Linked DNA regions of Lepisosteus oculatus. The main gene of each other region encodes a partner of the protein of the gene in region 2 in a complex. Links are inferred from orthologs where the notes say so. Each region holds a gene or a part of one and is shown on either strand. Other genes may lie near its edges. The genes, in order: wdr73, ints11 and brat1.

Evidence for each region.
Region 1: the proteins of ints11 (region 2) and wdr73 are in contact, whole or in part, in a cryo-EM structure (PDB 8R22), measured with the Homo sapiens proteins. The link is inferred for Lepisosteus oculatus from reciprocal best matches to the Homo sapiens genes INTS11 and WDR73. Residues at the interface, in NP_060341.2 of Homo sapiens: Tyr206, Thr208, Thr209, Ile210, Arg211, Asp212, Ser213, Arg215, Cys216, Arg217, Glu218, Arg219, Asp220, Leu222, Lys223, Lys224, His226, Phe255, Arg258, Met259, Leu364, Val384, Glu385, Tyr386, Ser388, Lys418, Lys419, Glu421, Phe422, Gln425; in NP_116245.2 of Homo sapiens: Asp5, Asp6, Leu8, Val9, Ser11, Leu12, Tyr15, Gln16, Phe18, Tyr19, Ala20, Phe21, Asp22, Leu23, Glu50, Leu52, Arg59, Leu68, Phe69, Pro70, Glu71, Arg72, Asp73, Phe74, Lys75, Val76, Gly79, Phe81, Asp116, Ser117.
Region 3: the proteins of ints11 (region 2) and brat1 are in contact, whole or in part, in a cryo-EM structure (PDB 8UIB), measured with the Homo sapiens proteins. The link is inferred for Lepisosteus oculatus from reciprocal best matches to the Homo sapiens genes INTS11 and BRAT1. Residues at the interface, in NP_060341.2 of Homo sapiens: Leu9, Val15, Gly16, Lys27, Met35, His36, Met37, Gly38, Phe39, Arg43, Asp47, Tyr50, Thr58, Asp59, Asp62, His70, Leu71, Asp72, His73, Asp87, Gly88, Gln97, Pro101, Ile102, Glu105, Arg108, Lys109, Val112, Asp113, Lys114; in NP_689956.2 of Homo sapiens: Asp25, Thr27, Cys28, Glu30, Lys31, Asp34, Pro117, Ser156, Ser157, Leu158, Phe159, Ser162, Lys358, Ser359, Cys366, Arg367, Arg424, Arg427, Thr465, Lys468, Lys469, Trp514, Glu515, Asp518, Ser519, Glu522, Tyr560, Ser564, Ser604, Glu605.

What each region holds. Positions count from the first base shown.
Region 1 is NC_090700.1:1,908,748-1,919,164, reverse strand, and holds wdr73 (WD repeat-containing protein 73), read right to left. Parts: upstream 5,149-10,417; 5' UTR 5,102-5,148; coding exon 5,043-5,101; intron 4,663-5,042; coding exon 4,595-4,662; intron 4,480-4,594; coding exon 4,388-4,479; intron 3,561-4,387; coding exon 3,472-3,560; intron 3,238-3,471; coding exon 3,170-3,237; intron 2,848-3,169; coding exon 2,686-2,847; intron 2,563-2,685; coding exon 2,194-2,562; intron 1,585-2,193; coding exon 1,343-1,584; 3' UTR 244-1,342; downstream 1-243. Other genes in the region: defbl3 (beta-defensin-like 3), read right to left, coding at 9,444-9,465, 9,897-10,008. UniProt on the Homo sapiens protein: Component of a multiprotein complex required for the assembly of the RNA endonuclease module of the integrator complex. Associates with INTS9 and INTS11 in the cytoplasm, stabilizing the INTS9-INTS11 heterodimer and blocking the active site of INTS11.
Region 2 is NC_090720.1:10,496,471-10,507,705, forward strand, and holds the start of ints11 (integrator complex subunit 11), read right to left. Parts: upstream 4,847-11,235; 5' UTR 4,796-4,846; intron 4,651-4,795; exon of another isoform or gene 4,497-4,650; intron 4,156-4,496; 5' UTR 4,087-4,155; coding exon 4,059-4,086; intron 3,559-4,058; coding exon 3,461-3,558; intron 2,845-3,460; coding exon 2,771-2,844; intron 1,877-2,770; coding exon 1,648-1,876; intron 767-1,647; coding exon 668-766; intron 194-667; coding exon 159-193; intron 1-158. Other genes in the region: cptp (ceramide-1-phosphate transfer protein), read left to right, coding at 5,008-5,135, 7,197-7,719.
Region 3 is NC_090714.1:9,157,918-9,168,409, reverse strand, and holds the start of brat1 (BRCA1-associated ATM activator 1), read right to left. Parts: upstream 5,185-10,492; 5' UTR 5,035-5,184; coding exon 4,996-5,034; exon of another isoform or gene 4,785-4,995; intron 3,198-4,784; coding exon 3,059-3,197; intron 2,583-3,058; coding exon 2,428-2,582; intron 1,903-2,427; coding exon 1,755-1,902; intron 191-1,754; coding exon 1-190. Other genes in the region: eif3ba (eukaryotic translation initiation factor 3, subunit Ba), read left to right, coding at 5,575-5,677, 6,770-6,962, 7,472-7,591, 8,060-8,117, 8,588-8,716, 9,261-9,418, 10,204-10,335. UniProt on the Homo sapiens protein: Component of a multiprotein complex required for the assembly of the RNA endonuclease module of the integrator complex.

The DNA.
Region 1 (10,417 bases), on a different chromosome or scaffold from region 2:
GACATTCAAGTAAGGTGTTGCATTACTCTTGTATACAGCATGAGTCTATGGTTTAAATTTCACTGCCATCATAAAAATGCTTTACTACTGCAAATATGAAATATGAGCTGTGCTGAATCAACAACTAGATTTCTTTTATGCAAGGTCTTGGGCATCAGATGCCTTCCAAACATTAAGTAATTCTTTGAGATTTCTATTGATTGTAAAGTTCAGTCCTTTCAGTAGATGTTCCATAAGAAACCATTCACTGAAAAAGGCTTTTAATAAAAATGTGCAAAATACAATGTGTTAATGTTTTTGTCTTTATACATAAAAAAGTATATTCAACTGGAGTCCTGATTACTTGGTCATTAAAGATCTCAACAGTTGGTCACAAGAGTAAGATCAATAGTCATTTTGCCTTTACAAAGTAAAGAGTCCATTACAGAAAATAGATACAAAATAGTGTATTTTGTACTTCTACTGATTTAAAGATGTTCTAGCAAAGGGTATTTAAGCAATTGCAAATTTGATTTTCTTTTAAAAATCTAATCATCACCTTCTTTCTTTGCAAGCAGACTAAGAAGTATAAATAACATCAATATTATGATACAAACCAGTAGTGAAGGCTTTGAATGAATTGTTGCATATAAAAGCCAATGATTCTCTTATGATCTTTCCATTAAAGGGATATATAAATTACACTTAACTTGGGAATAAGATATCTTGCTGATGAAAGACAGTATTGACAGTTTAAAGTATGAAACTTAATATTCTAACACAAAAAGCTGTGTACAAATTAAGTTTACTTCACTGCAGTAAAAGTTGTGAAAGATACTGAAACAATCCTAAGGACAAGCCATCCTTGTTTGAAGCTGTTGAAAGATGCTTTGTTAAATTACATAAAGAAAATTAAAACTGCAAGTCAGTATCCTGAAACAGAATTAGCCCAATTACCTGTAAAGCAGCCAGGTTAGGCATTACGTTAAAGGAACTAATAAGGTGTTGTGCATTACTATGTGTTAGGCTGCAGAAGGTTTTCTCATTAGAATTTTGATTAATCTCACAAGGAAAAAAATATGCTACTCCTTTCAGCAGCAGCAGAATTGAGGTTTATATATACAAAAAAAAATAGCTGTGAAAATCAAGTATACAGTAAATGATTCATTTGACTTTTTCCTGCAGTACCCAAAAAGAGCACAGGCTACAGTCATGCTGATAGCAGTCTTTGAGTGTACAGTTTTTTCCACAACCTTTAGAAACCTCATTGGACAAGATGCCCAGTTTCTTCACATTGGGGCAGGGGAAGTGTTCCACCGCCCCCCAATCCAAAGGCAGGTTCCTGTGAAATGCTCCGTTGCCTTTACCGGCCCCTGGCCTGGTTGTCGACCCAGTCCCAGACATGCAGAGACCCATTGGTGGCTGCAGACAGCACTGTCCTGGGTTTCCAGGGGTGCCAGACGTGTGTGGTGACCACAGCCGCGCCCCGGCCGCTCTCGGGCCCGTGCGACAGGCTGTGGCCCTTGTGAACAAACAGAGGCTCTGCTTCCGCGGCGTTCGGGCTCCAGGCCTTTGTTTCGTACACGCGCACAGCTCCGTCGAAACCTGACGGCCAGAGGGAGAAAAAAGCTCATTCTCTCGTTTCGAGCCATTCACACGGCTGTGGTGAAGCAAAAGATGGAGTGCGCAGAGAGAATGTCTTCCACTTCAGTGTTGTGAAAGCAGTAGATTGCAACCGCCTGAACTGCCACAAACCCACGTTTTTAAATGTATCTACAGTACCTTACTTGTCATAATGCACATATATTCACTTATCCCCCTACAGTACTGAAAAATCATGGACAAAGTGCGTCCACTATATTTTTGTAAGCAAACACTGCTGTGCATTGACTTGGCAGGCCCCCTCTTTCGACCTATAATCTTCCCAAGTCAAAGCAAGTGACTCTCTCCTGATTCTCACCTCTGAACATCAGTACAAGCACCTCTCCTTCGTGTACCAGCAGAAGGCCTCCTTCATGGCCGGATATTGGGATGATATTTTGAAGCCTCTGATTGTTTATCAGTAAAGTAACATTCTGAACAGCAGCCTGGTAGAGTTCACACTGGATGTCTGAATTTTGCACCAGGTTTCCAACCATTGCACCAAGTGGAACAGACTTCGAGGTCCTGCAGGCAGTAGGTGCTCTAGACCAGGAGACGTATAATGTTGCTTACCTGACACAGCCAGACAGTCGTCTAAAGCCGGAGCCCAGGTCACAGCCATAAAGTCAGCACTGGGGCTGTCGTGGTGAATATTCAGCCTGGCTTGGCACATGGGGCTTCTCGGACTCCGCAGATCTGTGACGAGGACCTGGCAGGAGGAGGACAGCCGCGCCACAGTGCCGGAGGCAGCCTCCACGTGGGAATGCCCCTTCTTTACCCCCATGCGCCAGCGCGGGCCCTGCCCCTCGGGGGTGGCTGTGGGCCGCAGACCGGCGGGGTCCCTCACGTCGCACAGCCACAGGCCCCCGCTGTCTGCGCAGACCAGGAACACGTCGGCGGCCAGGAACTCCAGGCCGCTCACCCTGTCCGCGCAGTCTGCAGCTGGGGAAATAAAAGCTTCCGTCACGAACTGACTCTGAAGCGATTTCACATGGAGGTGCATCGCTTACACAGCTCTGGCCACCCACCCACACCCACAAGTCCAATGCACAAGCTCTCAGTTACCCACTGAGTAGAGCACCCGTCGCGATTCCAGCTCGGTGATCTGCAGGTCTTTGATCCGAGAGGCATGAAGGACACAAGGCGTCCTGGAAACCCCGGAGGCAACCCTGCTCCCTGCCTTCACCCGGACCTCCGGTTCGATCACTCCGGCTCTTCTGATGACATCTACCACCCAGCAAGAGGTAAAACATAAGCAGAGCTGTGGATACTGGAGGTGCAGCACGCAGTGTCAAAAAAAGATCTACATGACATCTGAAATGTAAGCAATGCTTTGATATGAGTATTTCAAAGCTGATCCTTCCTACGTTCTTATGAAAGAAATACATGAAACATCCAATCAGGCCCCAAGAAGCAATGATTAATTTGTATAATAAATAAGTTATTCTCCTTTGTTTAGAAAAGATAGAAGACAATCTAGTACAGTAAAATAAAGAGATTAAACAGACTGTTAGTCATTCCAAGCACTTGGAATGAACAAGATCCTCACCGCTGTCTTCGTCTCCTATCTGCCAGATGTGCAGAGTGTTGTCTGAGGGACCACTGGACACCAGCGTCCTTAACACAGGAAAAGGAAAACAGGGAAGCTGTTCATGTAGAGGAAAGGTACATAGTTGTCTTGGTATCTGATCCTTTTAGTCCCATTAATGTAATCTGCATAGATTGTATTTCCTTTCATTTGACGCCACCCCCGTTTTAACTTGTATGGCTGAAAAAAAAGTGTTTTTTCTGTTTTTCCGTGCAAGAAGGTTTCGGTGCTCAGGCTGCTGCAGGTATGTTTTACAAACCTACCTTGTTCCAGAGACATGCTTCAGGCAATCGATGGGCGTGTCTGAGAAGCCACCGTGCTCCACCTTGAAGTCTCGTTCAGGGCACAGGCCCTGAGGAGAAACGGGACGAAGTGCTGTATTTTCCACAAAGTCGGACACCAGTGTTATTCACGTCCCTGATGAACTGCATCTAAAGGGTGGTCTGTTTCTAAACATCCGCTCTCTGCAGCTCATTCCACGAGTCTTCTACCAGACACAGTGACATTCACTCCTGCTCCTGGAGCCACACACTTCATGGGTACCTTATAATCCTTATTGGGTAGAGACCTGGAGGCACTGGTAATAGAGACCAATTAAGTGAACAACTTAAGTGTCCCAGAAGGACTGAAATCTAGAAGCCCTTCAGAGTGATCCGGGCGAGTGTGATGAACAAGCACGAACACAGACATGCTATCTTGACCTTCTGACCTTTCTGAAGCAGACTTTGCATTGTTAACCTGCTGTAAAGTCCACGTGTGACCAAGCTGGAAGGTCATGCTATAGGGCACACATTTTTGTGACAAAAATATTGTAGTAAACATAAGGTAGCATTACCACCTTGTCTGATCCTGTCACATCCCAGAAGTTCAGCAAGGCCTGGTCTGTCCCCAGAGGGATCTTTCGACAGAACTCAATCATTCTAACATGCTTTAAAAATCTGTTTCCTACCTCATGGATAAGCTGTGATTCAATATCTCTACGATAACAGGATCTTTAGTTATAAGACGCTCCATAAACTGTTACAGAACGTCACTATTGTATTTGCAAGGTGCCAACCGCCAGTCTTGTTTCTAACCGTAATCAGGGTATATTCATGGTGTTCTTTCCTAGCTCCAAATTACACTGGTGAAAACACTTCTGCCAGGCCGTAAGAGCACCATTACCGAGACAGTCTTTACCTGGTTTTCTTTCACGAAGAGTTTCTGAGGCAGTGCCAGCTGCAGGATTTCATTCCTTGTGCTACTAGCTCCATAGCCAGCTACACAGATACCTGCGGAGGACACAAATACACACACAGTAGCATCTCAGCAAACAGCATAATACTTGTCAAACCAGTGAAACTACAACCACTTCTAAAGAAATTTAAATGTTTCAGTCCATTTTACTTTTTCCTCCAGTCCATTCGATGACTCGTGTCGGATCTTGAAGTTCAAACAAATGGAGATCCCCATACCTGCGCAGAAGATTACAATGTCACTACGACGGTACTGCATTGCTCTAAAGGGGCTCTATTCTGTGTTGCAGCTGGACTGCACGATAGCATCATAGCCATACTGTAAACATTACACACTAATTTGCAATCGTAAGTGCATTGCTTTCCTGGTTTGTAAATCGGACGTCTCAATTCAGCTCGCATTTCATACAATACCTAATATAATTTGCACTATATGTCGCGTGGTGCTCTTTTCTTGGTTTGGTTATTAATAATGAAAAAAGAGAAAGTCACTGCAAGGAATACGTGCACACTAGAGGTTACAGCATGGCCATAACACTACATCAAGTACTGAGGCAACACGTTTCCTCGTTCGCTGTTTAATAATATGGTTTTCTCACAGATGTAAGGATTCGATAAACCAGTCATCAACCTCATCTTCATACACGGATGGCTCCATGGTGGCGAAGTAGGAAGTGCAAGCCTATGTTTCCACAACTGCTTCCGGGTCACGGAGAATCACGTGCTGCGAGACCTGCAAACTGTGAGATAGCTGAGGTATTGTGAGTCGTGTATTTAAAGCACACAGCTCACACACAATAGCACTCGTTTACAATTAATATGCAATCAACGGTCAGGTTTTAGTGAATTTCTTAAGGGGTCTATTTTTTCCCTATATGGACAGTATTCCCGTGTTTAATTGACATTTTTCCAAACTCAGATGTGCAGCCACTATCCAATGTCCATATTTTTTTAAGATGCACAAGTATAATAGTAGCTGCTTACAATACAGTTTATACTTCCAGTATGTGAAAAACTAAAATTCTTTGCATAAGTCAGTCTCTGCATAATTCGAAGTTTTAGTGATTTTAGCGATTTCATTCATGTGGTTTCTCATACGCGTTATTCTAAATCAAAGCTCATATTTAAAGATACAAATTAATTGCAATGTAAATATTTCCGAAACGCGCAGCACAGAATACAAATTATATTTGGATAAACAAACAGACCCCCCTTACACAGAATTACTAATGCAGTTCTTAGTTCAAACATTTTATTTGTATTTAAAGTAGGTTTCTGTTGTCACTGTGGGTTTTGAGTCTTTAGGTGTGAATGTAGTCGTGAGCACTGGGCATTGGGATTAACGATTAAATGTAGGACACATAGTTCCTTTTCTCAACAGCAAATAAAGAGTAGTGTCACCATAATTAAACCCCACCAGTCCATTGTGGTGTTCAGATCAATTGAGTGTCACCAGACCTATTTTAAATGTAAAAGCTAGGGGGGTTTAAACAGATTTAAAAATAAATCAGTTACCTAAGAATCCTTTGGAGATCAAAAGTTCATTCTTTTTTCCCTCCAAAATCCAACACTGGTTTGGACCAGATGGGGCTGTCTGTGGTCTGTGTTGATATTATTGTGTACAGAGAAAGCCTCATGTAAACAGATTTGCAGGGGGTTTGCGCTATTGTGGCTGTGTCACACTGTGCTGACTGAGTTACACAAGCACAAAGATTGAGTGATTACCCAGACGACAATGAGGTTGCACTGTGTAGCACATGTTTACAGATGCCAATCGGGAACTTTAACTACTACTGAGCCAGAGCTGTCCAATGCACACTATGTTGTCCCAGCTAGCTTGATTTCCTCTCGTATGAAAAATATCTCCCTATGCTTGTAAAATCATGGTCTTTTAAGATGTCAGTGAAATTGTGCAGTGGTTGATTTAATTTAATATTAATTGTGTGTGATTAATGTTACTTTTTCATGCTGTACAAATGCATCTTGTCATTTTTGAAGGTAAGGGCTTCAACGAAAAAATATTTAGTGTGAGAACATCTCAGAATTGCAAAGGCCATTGACGTTCAGTGCCATGATGAGAGAAATTTAAAAAATGTTGTTTCTTATGATAGTCAGCGAGTTGACTGCATTGTCTCATTAAAATCACCATTTCAAACATTTTCAAATACCAAATATCTTTACCAAAGATCTTTAAATATAAAAAGAGAATGGAGTATAAAAGCACTTATGTACTATTTTGTTTACCATATGAATTACATATTCTTTTGTTTTCTTTTAAGTTTTAAGTTGATTGTGGATTTCAATACTTTATACCTTAATAGGAGATTTATATACAGTACATTAGGTTTTATTCTTTAGAATTCTTCCAAAGTGTAGGATAAAAGACATTTAAATATCATCATTTACCATGATCTTCAAAAAATAGATGTGAAAGTCGTTCTAATTTACAACTCTCATTAAATCATTAAGATTTTCTCTGAATGGCATGATACTGTGTGAGCTGTCCATGCTGTTGGCCTCACGTAATTTAACCTTATAAAGAAGGCCTTCACCATGATTTTCTTTGTGTGTATATATATATATCCATCACTGGATACCCCAGGCAGCCTGACTTGATTTTAAAAGACTTTCGAAAGTCATTTAAGAAAAGTTTATGCAAAAAAGGCAGGCTGGGCTGTACAGCGTAGTAACAGAAAAACACCACCAGAGGCCGCCAAATATGGCTAGCTCTTGTAAACAAATTCACTGGGTGTTTATTAGCCACTGCTGGGATTAGTGATTGAATGGTTGAGTGAACATTCCCACATGTTGGCAATTCGTGGTGTTTGTGGATAATAAAGTGTTTTCATGGTGATAGGGTGGTTGTGCATGCATGAGTGTGTCCTAAACTCTTGAAATAAGGCCTCCTGCAACAAGAAGGCACTGTCAGCATGGGTTTTTACAGTATGTACACTACAATACATGGTCTCCAGTAGTCTGCTGTGTCTACTGCGTTCAGTTTTGATTCAAGTGGGGTCTTGGGAAAAATGTTACAGGCATCTGTTTTCATCAACACAAACTGTGTGTAAGTGAAAAAGGCGAACCCCTCAGGAAAATGTGCAGTGCGGGTGTGAAACATCTTGTTTATTTTAAGGCCTTCTCAGAGCATAAGACAGCCATTTCTTGGCGGAGACATGAATTTAACTAAGGAGTTTGAAATCCTCACATCAACTGTTTTGGACAAGGGATGAAATATAAATAGGATAACTACACCCATCAGGAGTGGCATCAGTAATGCATATTCAAGCAGCAGACAGGGGGATAAAAACTACTGTGTTTACAGGAAAAATCCTGACCTGCCAGCTGGCTCTGATATCGCTTCCTCTGTCCCCTGCCAGACTCTGTTCTTTACTCTGTGCCTCCCTACTGGTTCTGTCTCCTTTGTCTAGAAGAGTGTGGAATTCATTTATTGCTCAGATTGTAATTTTAGACATAAACATTATTTGCAATGCTCAAAAGAAATGTTATGTCCCATGAGAAATGCCATGGAATATCTATGAGCTTATGCAGTACGATTATGACTTGAACATTACTGTGTTGAGTGGAATTTATTTTAAGATAATGCTGAGAAAGTAGAAAACACACTTGTTTACACTTGGAAGGTTTTTATTTTAAAAACAAGCCAAACTACATCAGAACAATAATCTGTGACAATATGGCAGAGACTGGATGGCAACAAACAAGCAGAAATAAGTATAGAAACATAAAGAAGATATTTTAGCAACAAAAACAGCTAATGATGGTCTGCCTGCCAACACTACCTGGGATGCCAAAGTCGTTTGTTTTGGTAGCTGTGGCAGAAACCCAGGCAGTAAAAAAAATATATTTTGAGATTGTGTTCTAGAATTATTTATTTTCAATTATTGAAACCATAATCAAGGAACTAGAACGTCTGTCTGTGTAAACGTGTGTGAAAAACAGACATCTGTTGGTCTGGTCCTTTCACACTAAGGTGTCACCAAGCTGGACTGTTGCACCGCACTTCAGCTCATTGCGGATTCCTTCAAGAAATGGCTGGTTGGGATCTGCGGTTCAGTGAGTAACTAACTACCAAACAGGCTAGACGGCCCAAACACTCTTCACTCATCTGTGACCTCCTATGAGCCAACGTAATGTAGCATCTTTAGCTCTATCTGTCATGGCACCCAATAATAATATTGTTCAAGAAAGAGAACGTAGCTATTTCGCAAATACTGCATTCTGTGCACGCAGGACCTTTGAGATCACAGTCCTTTCAAAAAAAACCACAGCAGTGCGTCACGCTAAACTCGCAGCTCAGTGACAAAAAGATTCAGCAGCTCTGCTTCTGCTCCATATTTCTCTACCCACTCTCCCCAGCAGGCTTATTCAAAACTGTGAAAGTACATTAGCAAAATTGTTTTTGCTAATGTGGTCATCTGGGGTCGAGAGCGATTTTCCACGTCATTTAATGTTTTAGTGATTAGGCTTGGCTGCTATTTGTAGTTCAACTTTGCCACATGAGCAGATATTTGTTTTTCTTGAGCGTGATCTAAACTTTACCGGAGTTCATTTGTTTTAAATCAAAGCTAACGTACCTTATACAAGTCCATGGCACAGCACCTGATGTGGGGTGACCCACTGCCACAGGAAAGACCGTTTTTTATTATTTTTCTGAATTAAATTAAAAATATAAAATAAATATTACTGAATTTAAAATGACAAAATTGCATTTAAATGGGCAATTATTGTGTTTTAATTGTGTCTTAATAGTGCAATCTATTTTTATCGTGGAGCTGTTTTGGAAGCTTCACATACAGTAATTGGTACGGGTATTTTTCCAGATACAGTTTGCAAAATGAAATCATATCACATGTGGACTCTGCCTGGAGGCAGGATTGGCCCTCTTGCACCTTGATCTGTTTACAGCGGAGATCCTGTAGGAATGGTCAGTCTGATCACACGAGATATCCTGTGGGTTACGCTGATCTGAACAGCATTTCCTAATATCGCAAAGCACAGCATCTGGAAAAGATAAAAAAACATCACGATCAGCACTGCATTGCTGCATTTTAACATGCTTTTCACAAATTCTCAAAGATCAGTAGTAAACATTGTATAATACTGGGCATGGAGGCCAGTATGCTACAAAGCTAAAAATAATCCTGATTAAAGCATTTTTGTATTTATTTTTTGTGAGTGCATATGTAATAAATACAAACTTTAAGCAGTTCTCCTCTTGCTCTTGCTCATGTTGTCTCTTGGTCGTGTTTGAAACACACGAGAGGCATCGAACATGTACTAATTTATCTGACAAGAGAATGTTACATCACGGCAAGCACATTGCCTATCAGACTGTGTCGTCACTATGGCAACGGGTGAAAACATAAATGCCTGTAATACAGCAGATGCCGAAAATCCAGAACACCAAGAACATAGCAGCATGATTCCAGTACCTGTATCTGCGAGGACACCCATGGTGACCCACTGTGTATTCCTGGGCATAGCAGAACCGACGGCAGTACCTTCTGTAGCCACAGGACCAGAAATTCACCTCCACATCTTCATCTTTGCAAAGATAACGCAGGACAAACGATCACAAGAGAGGAGCACAGAATTAAATCACAGGGTAAGAATGGTGATTTCTCCCTCAGAATCAAACAGCTTCCTTGCCGAATTTCACCTTAGTCCTCCTCTGCAGAATTCGGCAGAAACAACCAGGTTACACTTTACTCCCAGAAACAGACACCCGAGGAAACACAGTCTCCAGAGCCCAGATGCTCACACCTCAGTAAAGGCTGGGTGAAGAAAGACAGGTCCTGAACACTCTTACCATGAATTAATCTTAACCATTAACAGATACAGCAGGTGTAGCATAGAAATCGTACATTTCTGGGTCTGAACATTCTTTGAATCTAAAAGAAAAGGACCTCGAGTGAGCAAGTATTAAGGAAAGCAAATAAAATTCTGCTAGTGT
Region 2 (11,235 bases):
CTTGGAGAAACTCACAGACACGGCCCCTGGTTTAACCCAACCATGTCTGCATCACGGGACTCTGGTTGCTGGTTTACTGGTTAAAAACAGATTTACCATTTTAAATCTAGCTTCGAAATTAAGAACTTAAATAGCCAAGAAAACAACGTGACACCTACCCCAAATGTCTGTCTGGTGTCATATTATAATCCCCCTAGACAAAAAAAAAAGTTTAGGTTTGACTCAGAATGTACAGGTTATTCACATATCTTTTTTATTTGAACTGTTTTACATAAAGAGTAAAATTAAATACTGTATTTGTCAAGTAAATCTTGAATATCTTCTCAAGACCAGTCTCATGGGTAACATCAAATAACTCTACTTAAAGGCAGATAGGAAATTATTTTGGTGTGTAAACAGCATCACAGTCTTACCTACTTAATTAGACATACAATGTGTGCTCCAACAACATCATGTTACAACTGTGTGTATCCCTACAGTTTATTACGCTGAAGACAAGTTAATCAAAGACACAGAAAATCAATTAGCATCCTAACTTGCAATAGATGATCATACACTTTTAGATGCAGGGTTCAATTATGTTGAGAGAAAAAAGTGTACACGCACTATGCAAGTTATTCCCTTAAGTAACACATAGGCCACAGGAAGACTTGTGCTCTTTACTTACAGTGTAGACCACAGACTCTGACCCAACTTTAATCTGTACCATGGCAGCTCCCAATACGTGGCCTGCATAGTAGGCTTTAATCTCCAACTCGTCATCCACCTACAGACAAAAACCCTTATATAGCACCGTTCCCTTCACATGAACATGCTCCATTCTTAAGACAACAAACACCAAAATGTAATACATGCTTCTTTGCATTACTATAAGTATCAGAAAAAATCTCAAGGTATTCAAGTGTTTAAAAACTGTGCACACAAAATCTGTGGATAAGCATGTTCATGCGGTCTATGTGGGTCCTAATGCCCCAGTATAGTGATGGGGACACTATATTGTAAACAGGCACCGTCCTTAAGGATGAGATGTAAAACTGAGGTCCTGACTCTCTGTGGTCATTAAAACTCCCAGGGTGTTTCTCAAAAAGAGTAGGGGTGTAACCCCAGCGTCACGGCCACATTTCCCATTGGCCCTTACCAATTGTGGCCTCCTTATAATCCCCATTTATGAATTGGCTTCATTACTCTGCTCTCCTCCCCACTGAGAGCTGGTGTGTGGTGAGCATTCTGGCGCACTATGGCTGCCGTCGCATCATCCAGGTGGGGCTGCACACTGGTGGTGGTGGAGGGGATCCCCATTACGTGTAACTGGCTTTGAGTGGAGTGTCCAGAAAAGCGCTATATAAGTGTAAGCAATTATTAATTATTAATTATTAATTATTATTATTATTATTATTATTATTATTATTAGGAATCCCTTTCGTAGATTAAAGCGTTAAAATTTGCTGCCTTTGGTTTACAAAGACTTAGATTTCTTTTAGAGGTACCCAAGATGAACCACTTTGCTTGCAATGAAGGTTGGCAAAAATACTCCCAATGAACTGAAACAGTTGTTTTTTGGTGGGCAGCAAATGAAACCGCTCAAGTGAAAATACAACTTCCCAAGTCGGATTTCTGCAAAGTGAAAATCGGCAGTGAAAAGGTCACCTGGACTGTCTGATGGAGATTTATGGCCACCACTTTCTTCATGCAGTCTTTGATCATCTGCGAGGTGAAGAAGTTGGTCTCTCCCTTCTTGTCCACGGTGATCTTCCGGAAGTCCTCCAGCAGGATTGGGCAGATGGCCTTGGTGGGGTGGGTCATGTATATAGGCCCATCGTAGCCCACCATCTCACTCATGTAGGGGAGGGCGCCACAGTGATCCAGGTGGAAATGGCTGAGAGACAAAGAGCGGAATATCATGTCTCATCTTTATCAAAACATAAAGCACTTCCTGGGCAATAACAGAAATGAGCTTCCTCGTTTATCTCTTTAGTATCAATTTGGTATACTTCACAAACGTTTGTGGACGTTTAGTACTTTCGAGCTTTCAAAACCACCGGGTGTTTATCAGTTCTGGTTCTGCACAACTCAAGGAACATGCCAAGCCAAAGGACTTTAAATCAACAATCTCGGTGGCATCCGGTAAATGGGAATAACTGTGCAACCTGTAAAGCCTCAGCTATGTTCCAAACACTGGTCTCATCTATGCCACTCTGCCAACTCCCAGGCATGCTCAGTTCCCACCTCAAACCACACTGGCGCGTTCATGCAATATTAAAAATGAGACAATAAGTTCCTAATAGACACTATAAGGGCAGGGATAATTCACACTCAGACAGCTTCCCCATGAAACAGTTCACATATCGCCATTCAAAACCTCACTATAATCACACACCACCCACAAAACATTAAATAGATTTTGTGTCTTTGAAGTACATTCTTTGGGAGCTTAAACAATGAAGCGAACCAGCAAAACACTCCATTTTTAACAGCTATGCACAATTTCACACTGTTACGTTTGTCCTTAATATGGCTGTCTTTAGGATTGTTTAGATTTTTTATTTGCTTCGTCAATACTGGCTGTAAACATAAAGGCACCAATAAAATAAATGCACCGATATACTCATCAAGTGAAAAGGTTACATGGAGATCCTTAGGAAGGCATAGATCTTGGTCCTCAAGTGCTGGATTCCAGCAGGTTTCAAAGTGATCTTTGAATCAACATTGGACTTGAAAATTTCCAGACTTTGGATGGGGTTAAATGTCTAGAAAATTATAAAGGTCAAACCTTATGATGACACAATCCAGAAACTCTGTTAGCCGTCCGTTCTGTGTAATGTAGGAGAAATCTGGGAAACGCCTCTGATAAAACAAACAAAAGATACAATAGTTTGCGATATTGTAATATTCATCCATCCACCCTTGTTCTAAGCCACTTCATCCCCTACGGGGTCACAGGGGAGTCAGAAGGTATCCCAGCAAGCAACGAACACAAGGCAGGATACAGCCTGGACGGGACACCAGTCCGTCACCGGGCACACACAGACACAAATATGCACACGCTGACACCCAGGGCCAATTTTCCCAGACCCCAGTATGTCTTTACACTGCGGGATGAAACCAGGGCACCGGGAAGACAGCCACACAAACCAGTGGAGAACATACAGACTCCACACAGACAGAACCCTAAGAATTGAACCCGGGGTCTCAGCGTCGCAAGGCAACCACTTCACCAATATGTCTCCCCAAAACATTTTAAAACTACAATAAATAGAAATAGCTATTAAAGGGCCCTAACTGAAACAGAAAACAGGACATTAAACACTAAGGCAAACATGAAACAGAACTACATAATTGGGTGATAAAAAGAAGTGTATGCAGTCAAAACGTCAACAAAAAGAACAATTTCCTACAGTGACACAATTTCACAGGGAATGTTATGTTAAGACAAGGTGATCCACAGTTCAAAACTGCTCACGTCATCATTGTATCCCATGTGCATCCCACAATCCAGCATGACATTCTTGCCACCAATGGAAACCAAGATACAGCTTCGCCCCACATCCTGGCCAGCACCTGCAAGACAGGAAAGACGTTACTTCGGGCAACAATCCATACGCACTACTAGGCCACACAAAACTTGCAGAGGGAATAAGGGCAATGCCGATCGCATAAATGTTTTATTTCAATGGTAGTAAACTGCATGTTAGATATGCAATCTACATTAGCACAAGACACGTCTGCACCCACCACAGCATTTCCAAAGGCAATACACTATATTGGTCTCTGTGGGGCTCATACTGTAGGTGTACTACATTCTGAGTCTGACAACACATCAATGAAGTAGAACTTAGGTTGACCCAATGGTTTCAAAGTGTTATAGTTATTCGAAATTGCTTCTGCTGAGATTCTGTCATTTCTTCTCATTCTAACTCCGCTGAAGTATGAGCCAGAGTACTGTAAAGCACTGTTGTACTTATCTACAAACTCACAGGACCGTTTCAAATGCAGGACAAACACGGATATTACTCAGTGAAGAACTATATCACTTACACCGTTTGCTACTGACATCTTACCTAAAGGAGTTACTTTTATCTCGGGCATCCTGTAGAAACGCTCGCTTTCTTTCTACCGGCGTGATCACGGTCAGTTGTTGCAAAAGATTGTACCCATCTGCATGAAGGGGAAACCACAAGTGTTTATTTTCAACTTAATGACGGATAACCATCATTCATTGGAAATCTAAAAACCACCTCAATGCTTCACGCAGCATATGCAATTAGATTCAATCAGGCATCAAGTCCTTTCACCTCGGGGACCTAGCAAAGGCTTAGTTGGAATATGTAAAACAACAATTGAGAACGAAAACAAGAGAGAGAACCACAAATTAATACATTCAAGTAAAAGGATTTAAAGCGTTTAACTTCAGAATCAAACATGATTCTAAAACGTTTTCCAGTTTAAAATGCTATAAATTCCATCAGAGATCTTCAATGCATAAGTAAATCACTTACTTCGACGTAAAATGACGGGTATGAAAATGTTATCACCTTAACAATGTTCAAGTCTGGTTTTCTACTAGTGGGGTAATCTTTTAAAAAAATCAACTTCATCTGCTGTACGCTGCCATCTTGTATGCAATGACACCCACCACGCGATTTCTCTTTGATTGACAACAGCACAGCCCAATCAGCGTCAAATACTAGAGCAGTTGACAAACGATGCACAAAATGTAACCAATAGAAACAAGCGGAAGGTGGGGTAAAGAGATTTACTGTTCGGTTGAGAAAGCAAAAGATAACACTCCGGTTACCGTATAAACCAGTGAAGAAGCGAAGGCTGTGTGTGGAGATGTGAGATCAGCTGACCGTTTGCATGAAAGTAAAAAAAAAATCTGCCTTTTTTTTGTAAAAAAAAAAAGAAAACATCACAAAGTTACTTCACGTCTTCATTTATGTTCACATAGATTTACGTCAGCTGATTTTTCTTGTCAAGCTTGGTGTGCTTTCCTGCTTCCGGGTAAACATGGCTGATGTGGTGGAGGACCAGAAATTTAGTTTGAAAGAGGTGCTGGACACTTTCCAGTCCTGTCTCACAGACAACAAGGAGATTTTAATCGATCAGTACGTGGCGGGGTGGCGAGGACTTGTAAGGTGAGTCTTCCATGGTGATTTCAGGTTTAACTAGTGTTTGATGTTACTGTGTTAAACGGCCAGAATAAATTCGGGTGAACTCTGAAAAATAATTGTGAAAACGTTTCTATTTCAAACATCGGATTAACTTTAGTTAATTTCTTCGTAGCAGTTGTCAAAACTATTTTTTTCTAAAAATAGGACTCTAAACGGCTGGGCGTGAACATTAAAACATTTAGTACTTAAACGGTTTTAATTTTTAATTGTCAACGTATTCTAACTAATTGAGCGCAGGCAGGCAGCCAGTCAGTGATGTGAATATTGCAAACGGAAACGATCTGTTGAACGTTGAACACAGTAATCAATGGATAAGTCTACATTTTGACACTTGATTAATGATTAAACTGTGTTTTAATTACCCCGACAATTAAACTAGAACATCTGTAAATATTATTTTATATCCAGATGATAGTCTATATTTATGTCATTATATTTATATAATGACAGTTTAGTAGTGGAGAGACCAGCAGCAGAGATAAATGGATGATTTTTGGATGAACACTCATCCTCTCAAGCATGCATTGATGAGCCTAATGAAGCAGCTGTTTTTTTTTAAAATAAAATTTAGGTCGAGATGAAGTCAGACCTGTGTCCCATCTATCCAATTCAGATTCTGAAACCTGCATCCCTTCATCCATTTTCTAACTGCTTTATTCAGTTCAGGTTTGCAGGGGACCCAGAGCCTATCCCAGCAAGCAACGGGGACAAGGCAGAAGCTCCTGGAAACCAAACACAGACAAACACACATTCACACCAGGGCCAATTTTCCCAGAAGCCAATTCACCAACCAGTATAATTTTGGACTGTAGGAATAAACTGGAACACCCGGAGGAAACCCACCTGTACACAGGGAGAACATACAAACAGCACCCAAGGGCCCAGCCCTGCAAGGCAGCAGTGTTAACCCCTGCATCACCACGCTGCCCTACTTTACACCCACTTAATCGAATTTCCTTTTTAGTTAATGTACTGTATAACCCTACAGTATATAAATGTATACATGACAGGTAAACACTACGTGACAATGTGTTGTAAAGGGTGCTGTACAGAAAGGGGAGTTCATTTTGCAGTTGAGGTAACAGGCTGAAGCCTGCTGCTGTCATCAGGGTCTCGCCAGCTGGAGATCCTGATCCTGTCTGCAGCGGGGAAATACAGAAGAGGATGCCATCCAAGTTCTTTCATGCCTGCGAGACCAACGGTCGACAGCATCATTAGCCAACAGTATCGGAAATAGAAATTGCTACTGTATAAAGAAGCAAGAATCCTCTCTTTAGCAAGACAAGCCAGTTGAAACGATCACTGGTGAATGCCTCTTGGCAGGGTCATCATTGTTACACAGAGAGCACAGCAGGGAGAGAGAAAAGCATCATTGTTGAAGTGCAAAACAAAACGTGACAGTGCTAACCAATGCACCAGGCACACCAGGCAGCAAAGATTTAATCATATCATTGAGAAACGCCCTTAGCCTCACAGGTTGAGGGTTTCAGCTAACACTGCAGGTTAGTCTCCTCAGGGGCTGCTCTGGGAAAGTTAGGTTTGGTGAAAATACTGCAATACTAATACCGATTGTAAATGGAGTATTTCCAGGGAGCGAGTTTGAATATTTACCTCTTTTTTTTTTGGCAACAGTTATTCATAAACGTCCCTCTCCTCCTGGCTGTAAATGGCTCCGACTTAAATAAAAGCATTTTCTAAATGCATAGTTATTTAAATAAGTAGTTCAGGTGGGTAGCTGCGTCAGCATGCGTAGGCTGCAAATGGGACAAGTAATAGGTTTATTCCATGCTGAAAAAAAGAAGAAAGAAAACGCAACGTTTTGGCCGTGGAGCCTTCTTCAGGTGTGAGGGTTGAAGAACCCTGAAGAAGGCTCCACGGCCGAAACGTTGCGTTTTCTTTCTTCTTTTTTTCCCCCAGCATGGAATAAACCTATTACTTATTTAAATAAGACCATCAATAGATCAAACTAGTGGCAACGAAACCTCAGTAGCTTTGTCTCAACCTTCTGCACGTGGTCTCTTCAAGGTTCATGAACAGCCTCGGCACCATCTTCTCCTTCATCTCCAAAGATGCCGTCGGCAAGATCCAGATCATGGCCAACCATCGCAAGGGCGAGCACGGAGAGCAGTACGAGACCGTCCAGTCCATGGTGAAGTACGAGCTGGCCCACGGGCTGGTGGACCTCACCAAGAGGGCGGACCACCCCGAGTCGGGCTGCCGGACCACCCTGAGGCTGCACCGCGCCCTGCGCTGGCTGGAGCTCTTCCTGGAGAGACTGCGGACCAGCGGCGAGGACGGGAAGACGTCTGCCATGTGCGCGGAGGCCTACAACGAGTCCCTGGCTCACCACCACCCCTGGATCATCCGCAAGGCTTCGCTCATGGCCTTCTGTGCTCTCCCCGGGCGGGCCACCTTCTTCGAGGTCATGAACGTGGGCACACCTGACCAGGTGGTGACGATGCTGGGGGAGGCCCTGCCCCTCATCGCCGAGGTCTACCAGATCACAGAGGAGCTGTATGCCAAGAACAACCTGCTGGACTTGCCTTAGCGCAGGTGCAGCTGAAGATGAACCTGGAGATGGGACCACCGCTCTCTTTCTTGCAGACCACTGTTTTCAAGCACATTCTGGACAGTGCGCCTGTTTTGTTTTTTTAATCACACTCAAATACTACTTCGTTTTTTGGGGAATTGTTAATTTTTCCACTGCGCTAGAATTGTGAGGGTTCAAGTCGGATGAATATGGCTCTTAAGTAACAAAGAAGTGGTTTTTCCAGATCTTTGTTTTGCAGGGGAAGAACTGATATTTGGTGAATGGGTGTCGCCGCTGGTACCTCACTCTTGATGATGGAGGTCATCCAGAGGTGTTGGGAGTCTGGATAGTGATGTTTCTGTACTATATATATGCGGTGTTAGACAGCTAGCTTCCTTAATGAGCTTCTCAAGCACACAAATGCACCTCCCCTTTTATTCAACATCTTGAAAGGCGGTGTCAAAAGTTCATACTTCTTGTTAAGTTTGGGAGGATGAGCAAAAGAAAGTAAAATTTACAGGAATGTCACTCAACGAGAGTTATACAAATGTGTAACATTTTTTGAAACCACACTACATGATTTTATAACCAGTTATTCTATAACACTGATCAAAGATCAGAACGTACTCTACTTCTGGGCTATAAGCGTGCACCTTCTGTAGAGTCTGTACAGTAAAAAAAAAGATCCCATCATGATTAAAGGCCACTAAGAATTCTTTATAATTCTTTAAGAATTCTTGCACTGACAGCCTTCAATAAGTAGTCTTCCACCACGTTTTTAATAATTGTGGAGGTCTGCTTCTGTGGAATCCTTCCATAAATCCACTAGATGCATAAACCATCTACTGGATATATGGATGGGTGGGTACCTCAAAAGCAAAATGGAGACCTAAATCCTAAATCCCACCCTGGGGCATTGGTGCTATTGTACGTTAAGGCAATCTGGTTTGAGAATTTGAATTTGACGGATGGGTCACAGCTTTGATTTCATCTGGACCTGAATCTTCTTTTTAAAAGAGCTACTTCATGAGACTCAACCAGGAAGGACCAATTTTTTTTTTTTACTTAAATGGAATGAGGGGATTTGACCTTTCAGCTGAAAACAGTTAAAAAGACCCCATCATCCTGATAAATCGGAAAGTTAAACAACTAAACTGTCCCTTCTAGTCCTTTCTAGCGCAGGCGCGTGGGACAGCCACTTCTAAACCCGGATCCTGAATGTTCCCTAATCCTCCCCCCCCCCAGTGAGGTTGGCTGGAAGCTGAAATGAACAAATCAACAGTTGCTTTTGCCAGTGGTCACAAGCAGTAACATCTGCCCCTATCCCCTTTGAGTAGAATTAGATACAGCCGACTCTTGATCAACGATACATCACTGACGTTTCTAAAAAGTAAGTGCTGCTTTAAAAACAAAAGGCTAATTGAATGGGACAGAAAAGAGTAATGTATTTTAAACTTGGCAGTGATCCTCGCTCCTGGGCCAGGAGAACCAATAGGATGTTTTTGTTTCAATCTACCAAGGCTTTTAGTGAGTAATTGAATTATCAGCTGTTCCAAGTCTTTAGTCATTGAGGGGTTTAGGTTCCCTGATGCAGGGGAGTAAATCTAGAGGCACTGGGCTGAATATTTTGTGATCTCTAGAACTGCAACCTTTTAAGAAGTCAGCACTTTAAAAAGCCATATAGGACTAATGAACAAAGCCTCTTAAAGAATTGCACTTATTACGTGTTACAAGTTAAGAGGGAGTCGGCTTGCTTCACAGACTTGTCGTTTTCTGGTGTGAGCATATGAATGCGTTTGAAAAAACGCTGAAAAGTTGAGTCATCTTTTATCACTTCTGAGTGTGACGTTCTGAAGGAAAATGTTGTTGTTTACATGGCCAACAAAAACAAAAAAGGCCTGGGATTTTTTTTACATAGCTGGAATAAGCTGATTCCATATGGAAATGTCTTTGTCAAGAAAAGGGAATTTGCACTAACAATTTTAAATGTTTGCATCCGTCTCTGCATTGTATGGTGTCTTTGGTACTGCAACAATATGGGAAGAGTATTATGGACATACTAGTAAATATAAGATCAGTTACATTTGATTGTGGGTTCAAACCTTAAAAAGTTGTCTTTTTCCCCCATCTTATGTCTTTTGCAAAATTTAAAATGCCACCCCGTGTAAAGGGAACCAAGAGCACTGGTCAGTCACTCGAACTTCCCTCCCGTCTTCGTCTCCCACTTGAATTTAAAGTGAGGCACATCCTTTGCTCTGTAAAAATCTATGCGTCAAAATGCTAAGCATGATTTCCTCATCGCGCGTTATGCATTATTGACCTTATGCCAGAAATCCCAACAAAAATAATAGGCTACTATTTCATTTAAAGAAATCTAGTGTAATGTACATAGTTTAAGAGAGATTTTTAAAATTGGGATCTTTTGCCTCCCCTGCTTTTTTTACGGCAATATTTTAGATTTTTTTTGTGAAAGTCTCAATTTTAAAAGTCCTTTTTGTGGATTTTGGTTAAGAGATTTGTCATGTTGCATGAAAGGCCAGAGCCTTTTTAAACAAAGGACGTTTCCTTTATGTGGGGTCTGTTCAATCGACTGTTTGCACTTGCTACCAATTTGAATTGTATTACAGCAAAAGCAACCTATGGGTGTACTAATTTGTACTATAGCGCATTTCACCAGAGCCCTCAGCAAATTATCTTGCTCAAGGATACAACAGCAGTGTTGCAATTGTAACAAGTGTGATTTGAATATGCAAGTCTAGAGCCCCACCCACTGTTGTAACTTTAGTTATTTTCCTAATCTTTTTCTGTTATATTTGCACTTTTCTCTTGACATTCTATGCCCTATGGTGGGGACTTAAAGCAGAGGTTTAGGATTAGATACATGTAGGACTGAATTTGTAGCCCTTAGGTCTGTTCTAAAATGTTTGTACTATAAACGGGCAACTATTTTACAGGTTGAAAACAAAGTGGGCTGTTGAACATCAATCAAAATGAAGATGCTCCAGTGAATGGAGAGAATAAGTTTAATATTTAAAAACAGATTTTTAGATTTATCTCTACTACAATAGTATTTGATATAATTCAGAATAATATTCACTACAAGTCTAATTACACTGTTTTAGGTTTTGGTGCATGGTTATTAAGCTGCAGTATTTGCAAAATTATTTTTTAGAATTTGATGTGGTCATGAACCACGTTTGCATACTGGTAAATTTATATACTTTTGGGGCTTGAGTTCAAATTGCTTAACTTAAGAAAAATATCCTCAAGAAACAAGTTTGTAATGTGGAATTCTCAATTTAATTACAAAAAAAAAACAATAAAAAATGTTTTTGCTGCAAGCATGCTCGTTTTTGTCCAATGTAAAAACCAAACACCTAGCAGGGATGAAGTATATTTCTCCCATCTCGGGGCTTCAGCTGTAAGTGTGAATGGAGGCATATATGGCCTGTGACACCAATTAGCAATTGATTTCCTATGCCCAACACAAGCTTTCTGCAAATTTCAGTATGAGGCAGTCGGGCTTTGTAAGAT
Region 3 (10,492 bases), on a different chromosome or scaffold from region 2:
CATTCAGTTTGTTCAGCATAGGTGTTACATTCACAGGCCACAGAGTTCTGCCAAATATCACTGTTGTCTGAAGATGAATGTGCAGGTACTTTCTTTGGGAAGTTTAAAATGTGAGCCAAAAGCTGATTAGCTGCTGAAGCAACAAAGAGGCTTCTGTCTATTTGTAAATTCAGGATCATTTTAGTAAAATCTGTGAAAAAAAGAACAATCCAAAGTGCAAAATAAGTACTGAATTAGGTTTGGGAGGCAGACCCTCAACATTTGACATATAAGGCATTTGCCATTGTAACTGATTTTATTTTTCAAAGCTAGCTTATTTCTTTGTCTAATTATACAATTTGTAATATAAAATCAAAAGAAAAGCACGGTACCAGTTAGTGACACAAGAGGGCCTTATATCATGTGAAAACTTCACAAACCAAACACCATAATGAAACAAGTGGAGTTTTCTTCCGAAGGCGAAACGTTTCATTTCTTCTCTTTTCAGCATGAAATAAACTTTTTACTTGTTTCATTGCAGCCCATACATGCTGATGCAGCTACCTACTTGAACTTTCTCAAACCCCTTAATTAATAAGTCTCAAGGGGATCCCCAGAAGAAAATAATAATAATATATAATAACATCACTTTATTAACCCTTTACAATGTCTTGCATTAGGAATTATCTTTTCGAATACCCCAGCTTGCTCTCCATGAGACACACAGACAGGGAGAGAAGCTTGAGGTCAGAGCGCAGGGTCTGCCATTGTTCGGCACCCCTGGAGCAGTTGAGGTTAAGGGCCTTGCTCAGGGGCCCAACGGAGTAGGATTCTTCTGCCGGCTGTGGGATTTGAACTGGCAACCTTCTAGCCACAGGCGCAGATCCTTAGCCACAGAGCCACTGCACTGCCCCAAAAAGTGAACCAAATGAAGGCTCACATTTAATTAAACACACAATCCTAGATATTGTTAGTGACCAGAGTTCAGGGGAGATCTACAGTCTACACTTAGAGAGGATTAGAAAAGGATCTCAGAGAGTAACTGTGTCTGTTGTAAGTTTGGACAGAGGATAGAGAAGTGGTTCTAAGTCTAAGTCTTTCTTGTGAGGGATCCACCTTCTGGCTTTCGTTCCAGCAAGCTCTTAATCAGTGGCTAAATTAATTTTCAACTTTGAAAGGATTAAGGTCTCCATTTTTTAGAAATTCTTCAAGATTGGTGGTGGTGGAGGGGAGTCCCCATTACCTGTAAAGCGCTTTGAGTGGAGTGTCCAGAAAAGCGCTATATAAGTAAAAGCAATTATTATTATTATTATTATTATTATTAGATCTCTGACTGAACTAACAGACCTTTTTTAGGTCTGCATTTTTGTCTATGTAAAAATGCTGAAATACATCACAATTTTAGAATAAAACACACACCCTCCCTACAAATTTAAATTAGCAGAAAATTCTCAATTCTGCATTTTATCACCTTAAAAATCTGCATGTATGAATTAAAATTATTTTTAAAAAGGTGTCTTATGATTAAATTAAAAAGACACTGCTATGCAATCCTATTTAATTATGTCATTTCATAGCTTTCCCAATATTTAGTTTGGAGACAAATGGTCATTGGATGGCAGACTTGATCATTTGGACAGAGTACAATGTCTTCATTATTCGGATGTTTCAAGTTCATAGGAAAGGAGCTGTAAAATGACATATTGGGGAAAGAGTAAAATGGTTACATTTAAAGTTAAATTAATTTTATGTGCATTACTATGTGCAATTCCCACCGTTCATTATGATGAAATGCATAACCCTCCAGTGCTGGAGCATGCTCCATAATCCATTGATCCACCCACTGCGCACTATTGCCTCATCCCACAGCTCTGTGTGGGTCAGGCCTGGGTTTCCAAAGAGACTGTGCAAAATGTCCTGTTCCTGAAGATGACAAAAGTTTTCACAATTCAGGCTATTCAATTTCTACATTTCAAGCATCCTAATTATGATATCTCCAATGAAGACTGCCAACACTAACCCCTGAGCACTGAGATTCAGCCTACTTATTTCAGGCATTGTTTCTTTTTCATGTGGCAATCAAGCAACAAGAGAAACAGGAGAGATTGAAAAGCCAGTATCTGAAAAGTTTATAATTTAAAAGTTATATCATATTCTGTTTAAATATTCCTGCTAGAGCTGCTCCAATCTGAAAAAACACAGCTGTATGTAAAGTTAGCAGAACACAGTCAGTTCCTCTTCCAAAATGATGATTATGTCTTACATTTTATCTACAATACTTTGTAAGAGCTATATTGCCAGCAAAAAGGTTTTTTATAGGCTAAACTTTTAGAACACAAAGTTAAAAGCTACCAAATGAAATATATTAGGTATGAAATAATTTTCCTGTAGCACACTTCCAGGAATTGTATGTAAAGAAAACTTCAAGAGTGGCTTTGATCAATTTACCTCTAAAAAGCAAAATCCCTCTTCAGTAGCAGCTAAGATCCCAACCAGTCTCAGTACAAAGGAGAGAACAGTGGGTTCATTTGTCTTCAATTTACACACACTGGATATCAATTCAGTTAAACATGGATTGTGCTGCAGCAAAGATGCCCCAGATACTAAAAAAGAAGAAATAAAGCATAATATTATATATTCAACTTTTAAAAATGAAGTATAACTGAAGATGAATTCACTACCTATGCTTAAAATAATACCTCCATCTTAGTGTGTTTAAAACTAGACTTACTAGTGTTACTGAATAGCCAATACCAGCAGCTTCAAAGCCAGTAAGTGCACCGTACCTAACTTGGCAAATTAAGTAGCCATCAATATTCCCTTTTCATGCCAGCTGTACTTTGCAAACGTGACCAATATGTCACAATCTAGTTTAGTATTAGGCTGACTAAACCTAATTAACACATTAAAGTGTTCAACACCTGAATTGTTCCACTGAGGATTGTCTGAGAATCTTCTCTAGTGGTGCACATTTATTGATCTCTCAGTTTCCTTTAAAAAAACCCTTAACTGTATAATTGAGTGTGAATATTATAGTCCCTTTGAAAATTACAGCTTTCAGTCTGTTTCAATAGCTCACCCTTTTTTGTTAGGTCTTTAAACCAGTCCAGCAGCTTCTCAAAGCAGGTATCATCAGGGAGTGACTGCTTTGGATTAACAAGAACTGTACAGACAAGAGGTAGCAGCTCTGCACATTCACTATCCATTGTTTTGGTTATCTGGAATCCGAAAACAAGTTTTAATATTCTCATTAACAACATACAAGTTAATTAGTAAGTTTTCAATTAAATAATGTGCACTTCCCCCAAAATAACAGATATAAATCATCTCTACTTCTATTACAAACTCATACAGCTACCTTCTGTACAGCTCATTTCAGCCCACACATACTAAAAATTCTGTCCCCTTTTCACAGCTTCTCAGGTTCTGACAACTTTGCAGTGACACTGACTTCCAAAACCAAGCCCTTAAAATGCACAATTTTTTCATTAACAGAGGATACTCCACCCATATTATTGACAGGGCCCTTCCCAGAGCCAAAAATAGCCCTCAGACCATCAACTCAATTAGGAGTTCCCGGCTTCACAACCACATTCCCGTGGTGCTTCCCAACCACCTTAACACCCTTTCTATCCCCAGGACCATTAATGACAACTTCCACATCTTAAAGGATGATCCCTCCACTGGCACTCATTTTTTCGTAAAACGCCCCGCCATCTCATATTGCCAACTACCTAATCTAACCTTATAGTATACTGCTCTCTTGACCGCAGTCAGCAATCATCCACACCAAGAACCTTCCCCTGCAACAGAACTCGCTGCATCACCTGAAAATATATATCCAATACCATGCACATTCAAGGCCCATCTGGACAATTCTGGATCACTCAGATGACATCTTGTATCTCCAACAAATTTATTTACTGCATCTCTTAAAGAAAATGCCCAGCTATTTACACTGGTGAAACAGGAAGGAGACTGAGAGACCATTTCAGGGAACATGTCAGGGCTGTGAGGATCAAAGATCTCTCCAAGCCCACAGTTTCCCATTTCATCGCTAACAGCCATGATCATACTGATCTTTCCATCTTTGTTCTCAAAGAGGGGGTTCGGATCTCCTATTGCATCCAAAACCAAAATTATTCTGAAACTAGGATCACACCTTCCCCCTTTTCTCATTGACAGACTTGTTTCCTTCTAATCCTCTGTATTCATCTGCAGGTTTTGACTTCACACCTCTGTTCACCTCTCTTAATTTCAAACCACCTGAGTGTCCACTCTGCTTCTCTCCTGCTCCCACCTCCTCTGCAGCTTTTGTTCTCCTGTGCTTTATCAACTGCCGATTTTCCTCTCTCACACCTGAAAAAGGAGCTACAGCCGAAACGTTGTTTCTTTTCTTCTCTTTTCAGCATTGAACAAACCTTTACGTGTTCCTATAAATCATCTAAATTCAGAACACATAATCTTAATTGAGTCTTATAAGAATTTAAGCACCTTCAGGTTTTGAATTGAGGGATCTAAATGACAATTTGCTATAATATTAATTTTAACCTAATTTCTTGAATTATTAGTAATCACAATTTTTCATTAAGTAAATAGTAGTAATTAGTAAGATGATGCCTGTGCCATAAGAATTATTTTCCCATTTAGAGTTAGAAGTAAACGCATCGAAAACTAATACAAATTCTAAACATAACAGGGACCTAATAAAATGTCATTTGCTATTTTCCTCTGTACAGTAACATGCGATTATTTGGGTCAGTAAAGTAATTATGCGCATTAAAACACAACGGGTTTAACAATACCGGAGTTTGCAGCTTCCTTATCTTATTGTGGCAAACACAAAGATGAACGCCGAGGCGTAGATATACGTTCAACGAAAAATTGTCGTTAACGTCTGAAAAGTGAAGGGTGGGATCCCAATCTAGTGTTTAAGTCACGTGTAGCTACAACTTTACTTTGGTTAAGAATAAGAATTCACAAAAATTAAAGAGAAAATTAAAGTACACAACACACATTCATTTTACCACGTGCTCTTCTGTCCTTACTAATCATAAACAATCAAAGATAGTTACAGACTTCTACAATAAAACAAATATAGAGATTCTACATTTAAACGTTTCTCAGTTTAACATAATTTACGATGACTAACACATCACAATCAATAAAATCTCCGAATTTGGGATTTGTGAAAAGCCCAACCCTTCTTACATTTCTCAAGCACTTCCTCCTGTAACAGGAAATAATCTGGAGGCATCCATTTTTAGAACGAACCAAATTGTGTGAGGGGAAATATTTAATAGAGTATTCAATTTTTTCACCTTCAGTATATGCTAGAAATATTATAATAAAATTGTCATTTCTATTATATTATAAGATCGAGGTTTTGATAGGTGTTTTCGTTTTACGTGTTTAGAAAACACTACCTGTTAATCCTTACCCCCATCCCTCCGAAAAGGTTGAGTCCCTTTTCACTGGAAGTTGGCTCGCGCCGGTTGTCGTGCACATGGCCTGCTGAGCAAATATCTAGATTATTTGATAGAAAAGCTGGTCATATTAATTTTCCATAAATCTATTGAAAGGGTAAAGCTTTAAATGCGGGATACGGAGAACATGGCGGCCGAAGCCGAGTTTGAAGAGGGTGAAGAGCTATCCTTCAGTGACCCAGAGGATTTTGTGGATGACATCAGTGAACAGGGTAATCGAGCGGAGGAAAGCACCCGGCTTTGCGGCCTGGTTGGAATAACTCAAATAAAAATAAGCGCTATTTAATAAGCTTTCTTACTGTTAAATGTAACGATGGTACAACTCGCGGCCTAAAAATAAAGGCACTAAATCGTGCATTTCCGTTCAAGGCACTCAATTTTTAACAGTTTCTGCCCGGTTGTGGAGTCATTGACGAAGCGAGCATGTCGCAGCTGGATGTATAAGTTAAAAATGATAAGAAAGCAACCAGTTTAAGGACACGAGTAACACATTCTTAAGTAACACTAACGTTATAGATTGAATGTTCGGTCGTATAGTAACAAAGACCTCAGTAATTCAGTGTTGAGTATGCAGCAAGGTGTATATATAGAGTAAATTAGAGTTACTACGGTTTTTTTAATTTTCAAATTAAATGTATTATTCTTATATTTAAAAGGTGTAGAAATGTCTTTTCAGGTGGCTGTCTATTGTACATTTATATTTCGTTGCAAGTTTCTGTAACGGTATTCCAATATGTTCGTTATAGGCAAATGAGTCGCTTTTCGACCTGTAGTTGATCTTTACCGGACAGATAATGTACAGGTTTATTTAACGCAATCCTGACTATTTTATAATGTTCTGAAGTGTTACCAATATTTTGGAGTTTTTTACTCCAACATGTTATTAAGGAACTTTTTAAACTGAAATGTATAATTAAAATTAAATTGAGTAAAATGACGAAATTACACCAATCTGGTGTAAAAGTGGATGTTAGTTACATATTTATAATGAAAGATAAGCAGCGCTCATCTATCGTTACTGAAATTGCATTGGTAAAAGCACTGTATGCTCATTGAACTGTGAACGGAAGTAATGTCACTGTGTTTTTATAAACCGCCGAACTATATTACGTTTATAGTTCAACTTAATTACTGAAATAAAAAATATTAAGCCTGCTGCTGTGTTAAAGTACAGATGATGCTGTCTACAATAAAACATGGATCTCGCATTTTGTGGGTGTGTACTCAAAAATAACTAACTGTAGTTGGGCTTTACTGATAACTGATGTACTGCTCTTGGAACTGTATTTCTGCCTGTTTTTCAGAACTGTTGGCTGATATTCTGAGGGAGAGGCCCCAAGAGGCGGACGGTATTGACTCGGTTATTGTGGTTGACAACGTTCCTCAAGTTGGACCAGAGCGCTTAGAGAAATTGAAAAATGTCATACATAAAATTTTCTCAAGATTTGGCAAGATTACAAATGAGTTTTATCCAGAAGCTGAAGGAAAGACAAAAGGGTTTGTATTGCATATTTATCATTTTGCTCTTTAAAAAATTGCATTCAACATTTACTACATGAATATGTATGTACACTCATTGATTTATTCTCATTAATGCATTTATAACTTTATTTTCATTGTATTTAGTCTGGTTCTACTGAATGTGTGTACTACTGCTGTGCAATTATTTATGTATGCAAAATAAGTTATTTTAATATAATGGTATAGTTATTAATTATATATAGATTAATTATTCTACGTATAGATTGTTTTTTGTTATTCATGCTATTAAAAGTTATTTGGACTTGAAGTTAAACTCAGGTATGTTCTAGATTTATATCCAGGTTATTAGCTATTAAGAACTTGCTTTGAGGAATAATACAGCTCTTACAAATTATTTTGAAGGCAAACATCTATTATTGATTTGTTGTTGTGTAAGACTATATTAAAAGTAAATCATGTCTTCTGGGGAAGTTTGTAGGTAGTTGTGCTTCATTGTATTTCTCTTGTGTAACACTTGTGTTTAGGTACATTTTTCTGGAGTATGCATCGCCAGCTCATGCTCTGGAAGCAGTGAAAAATGCAGATGGCTACAAGCTGGACAAACAGCACACCTTCCGAGTCAATATCTTTACAGACTTCGACAAGTGAGCAATTTATTTTCATTTATACACTGTGTACTGTATGTCTCCGCTTTTTTCTTTGCCTCTAAGTGATACATCCAAGGGAGTTTGTTCAGATGGGTACCTGCTGGAGATGGGATTGAAAAACACTAAGGGTATTATGGATTGGATAGAATTACTGAACAGTCATCTCCCCATTTCTGTAAATGCTCTTTTGAGATTTATTTATAGGAAACCTGATTAGAGGTAGTATGTGAACTTGCAAACTCTTGTTGATATTAGGTTTATTCCATGCTGAAAAAAAGAAGAAAGAGAACACAACGTTTCGAAACGTTGTGTTCTCTTTCTTCTCTTTCTTCTTTTTTTCAGCATGGAATAAACCTATTACTTGTTCCTTTGCAGCCTACGCATGCAGACGCAGCTACCCACCTGAACTACTCTTGTTGATATTGTTAGTGTTGCTATTTTTTAATTAGCATTATTTTTGTATAGGTACATGAATATCAGTGATGAATGGGAAACCCCTGAAAAACAGCCATTCAAAGACTTTGTAAGTATCATTACTAATTTGTGTATATCATTCAGGATTGCCTATACAGTTATCACTGCAAATGTTATATCTGTAAGTGATGCTGCACTTTTGAGACTACCATCCTCTTTAACACATTTTAACACATTAAGGCCAGCAAATTATTGTACAAACATTAAAATTATACTGAAAAGTATTTTATTTTAATTTCTCTTTTAGCATTTAAGTATTTTGTTACATTTGGTGGCTGGCCTTATGACCTCAAAGTAAAAAAAGTTATAAAAGCAGTGAAGTTTGTTGCAAACTCTGTTTGCTTATTTAATGTTCAGTTTAAAGATCATAAATTTAACATCTTCAAACACTTGGGAAAACATAAAGTCAGTCAAATCTCATCTTTTAAATCTATTTAAAAAGATTTGATGATTTAAGTATCAGTTCTGATGACTAATAACAATTTTGTGATCGTCCAATTTGGATTATTCTAATTTAAGGGGAATCTACGGTACTGGCTTGAAGATTCTGACTGCCGTGATCAGTATAGTGTGATTTTTGAAGCTGGTGAAAGGACAGGCATTTTCTCCAATGATGTCAAGGAACCAATTACGATCGAGGAGAGAGCTGTAAGTAGTTTACAAAGGCAAGACTACTCTCTGTATTTTGCCCATGTGACCATCATAAAGTAAGAGTCACATAAAAGGAGACCTTCCAAGACATGTCCACTTGAACTGAACTTTTAATGTGTATGTACTTATGTTCTTAACATGGCCATTTTAATTAATATAATGCTCACATTGACACCTTTTTTGGAGGCAATATAGTTTGGAGTATTGAATGTGATAAGTAAAATAGTCTACCCACAGAGGCAGTCTTGGTTTGTTTTGTGCCAAGATGGAATTTTTAAATAAAATACTCTGAGAAGTAGTGGAGAAGGATAAGAATTCCATATGCAAAAATAGGTCAATTCGGATGCATTTTAATGTAGATAGCATTTGCACTAATGTGGTGCACAGCATTAATGAACATGTAAAAAAAACGTCTACAATCTTCTAATATTGTACTTTCACATCCCTAACAGAAATGTATGTTCATCGGTTTCATTTTACTGTAATAAAATGTCTTTAATTCATCTAATTGAATATAATTCTTCGTTGTTGTTGTCTACAGCGCTGGACAGAGACCTATGTTCGTTGGTCTCCAAAAGGCACTTATCTGGCTACATTCCATCAGAGGGGTATTGCTTTATGGGGAGGAGAGAAGTTCAAGCAGATTCAGAGGTTTAGCCATCAGGGTGTTCAACTCATTGACTTCTCACCATGTGAAAGGTGAAAGAATTGCCATTATCATTATCACAGTGATCAAGATTTTTTCTTAAAGTAATTTTTTTATTTCTGGATTTTTAAAATGTTTATCCAACAGGTAACAGCTGGACATAAGGCATTTTTAAATCCCAAATATGTCAATTTAATGCTATGCTTTAGGATCACAAAGAAGATTACAGCCAAAAAGAGGCTGTTCTACACATCTGGGTGGACCGTAAAAATAAAAATGTTTTTATTGTGAGCTTTGGAAAGAATCTTGGTGGTGCATGTTTGCTGTGTAAGGAAACTACAGTTTTAAGCCTTCTCTGCAAGGATCGTATAAAAACTTGTTCAGCCTGCACATATCTTTTGGATAAAGGAGTAGAAAGAAAACTGTATACGTGGAAGTAAAGATTTTCATTTGTGTAGAGTAATATATCAGAGTTGAATCAAAACGAACTTTGGAGACTAACCACAACATGCCAAAAAAGTAACATCTTGTTTCCTGCTTCACCTTCTTTAAAAACAATAATAATAATTGCTTACACTTATAAAGCGCTTTTCTGGACACTCCACTCGAAGCGCTTTACAGGTAATCGGGACTCCCCTCCACCACCACCAATGTGCAGCATCCACCTCAGGTGAAAACATTAGGTGAAACTGCATTAAATTGAAATGTGTGTTGTTTGGTTATTACATGATTGTTTTCACGTTTTTGGTTCTATGATCTTAAAATGTTTTTGTATGTGAATTTATGTAACTGTTCTGCACATATGCATAAAAGATTTTAATTGTGTTTTCAATTACAGGTACATGGTTACATTCAGTCCTCTAATGGACACAAAAGATGACCCCCAAGCTATTATCATCTGGGATATTCTGACTGGGCAGAAGAAGAGGGGTTTCCATTGTGAGAGCTCAGCCCACTGGCCAATTTTCAAGTGAGTTGTGTTTGTTTGTGCTGCAGTGCATTATAGTTTTTTGCCCTCTTTATTTATCTTCCCTTATTTTCCCCTAGTAATGGAATTTGAGCATTCATTTTAAAGATGACAAATAAATAAGTTAACATTTGTACCTACTTTTAGTGACAGTGTAACT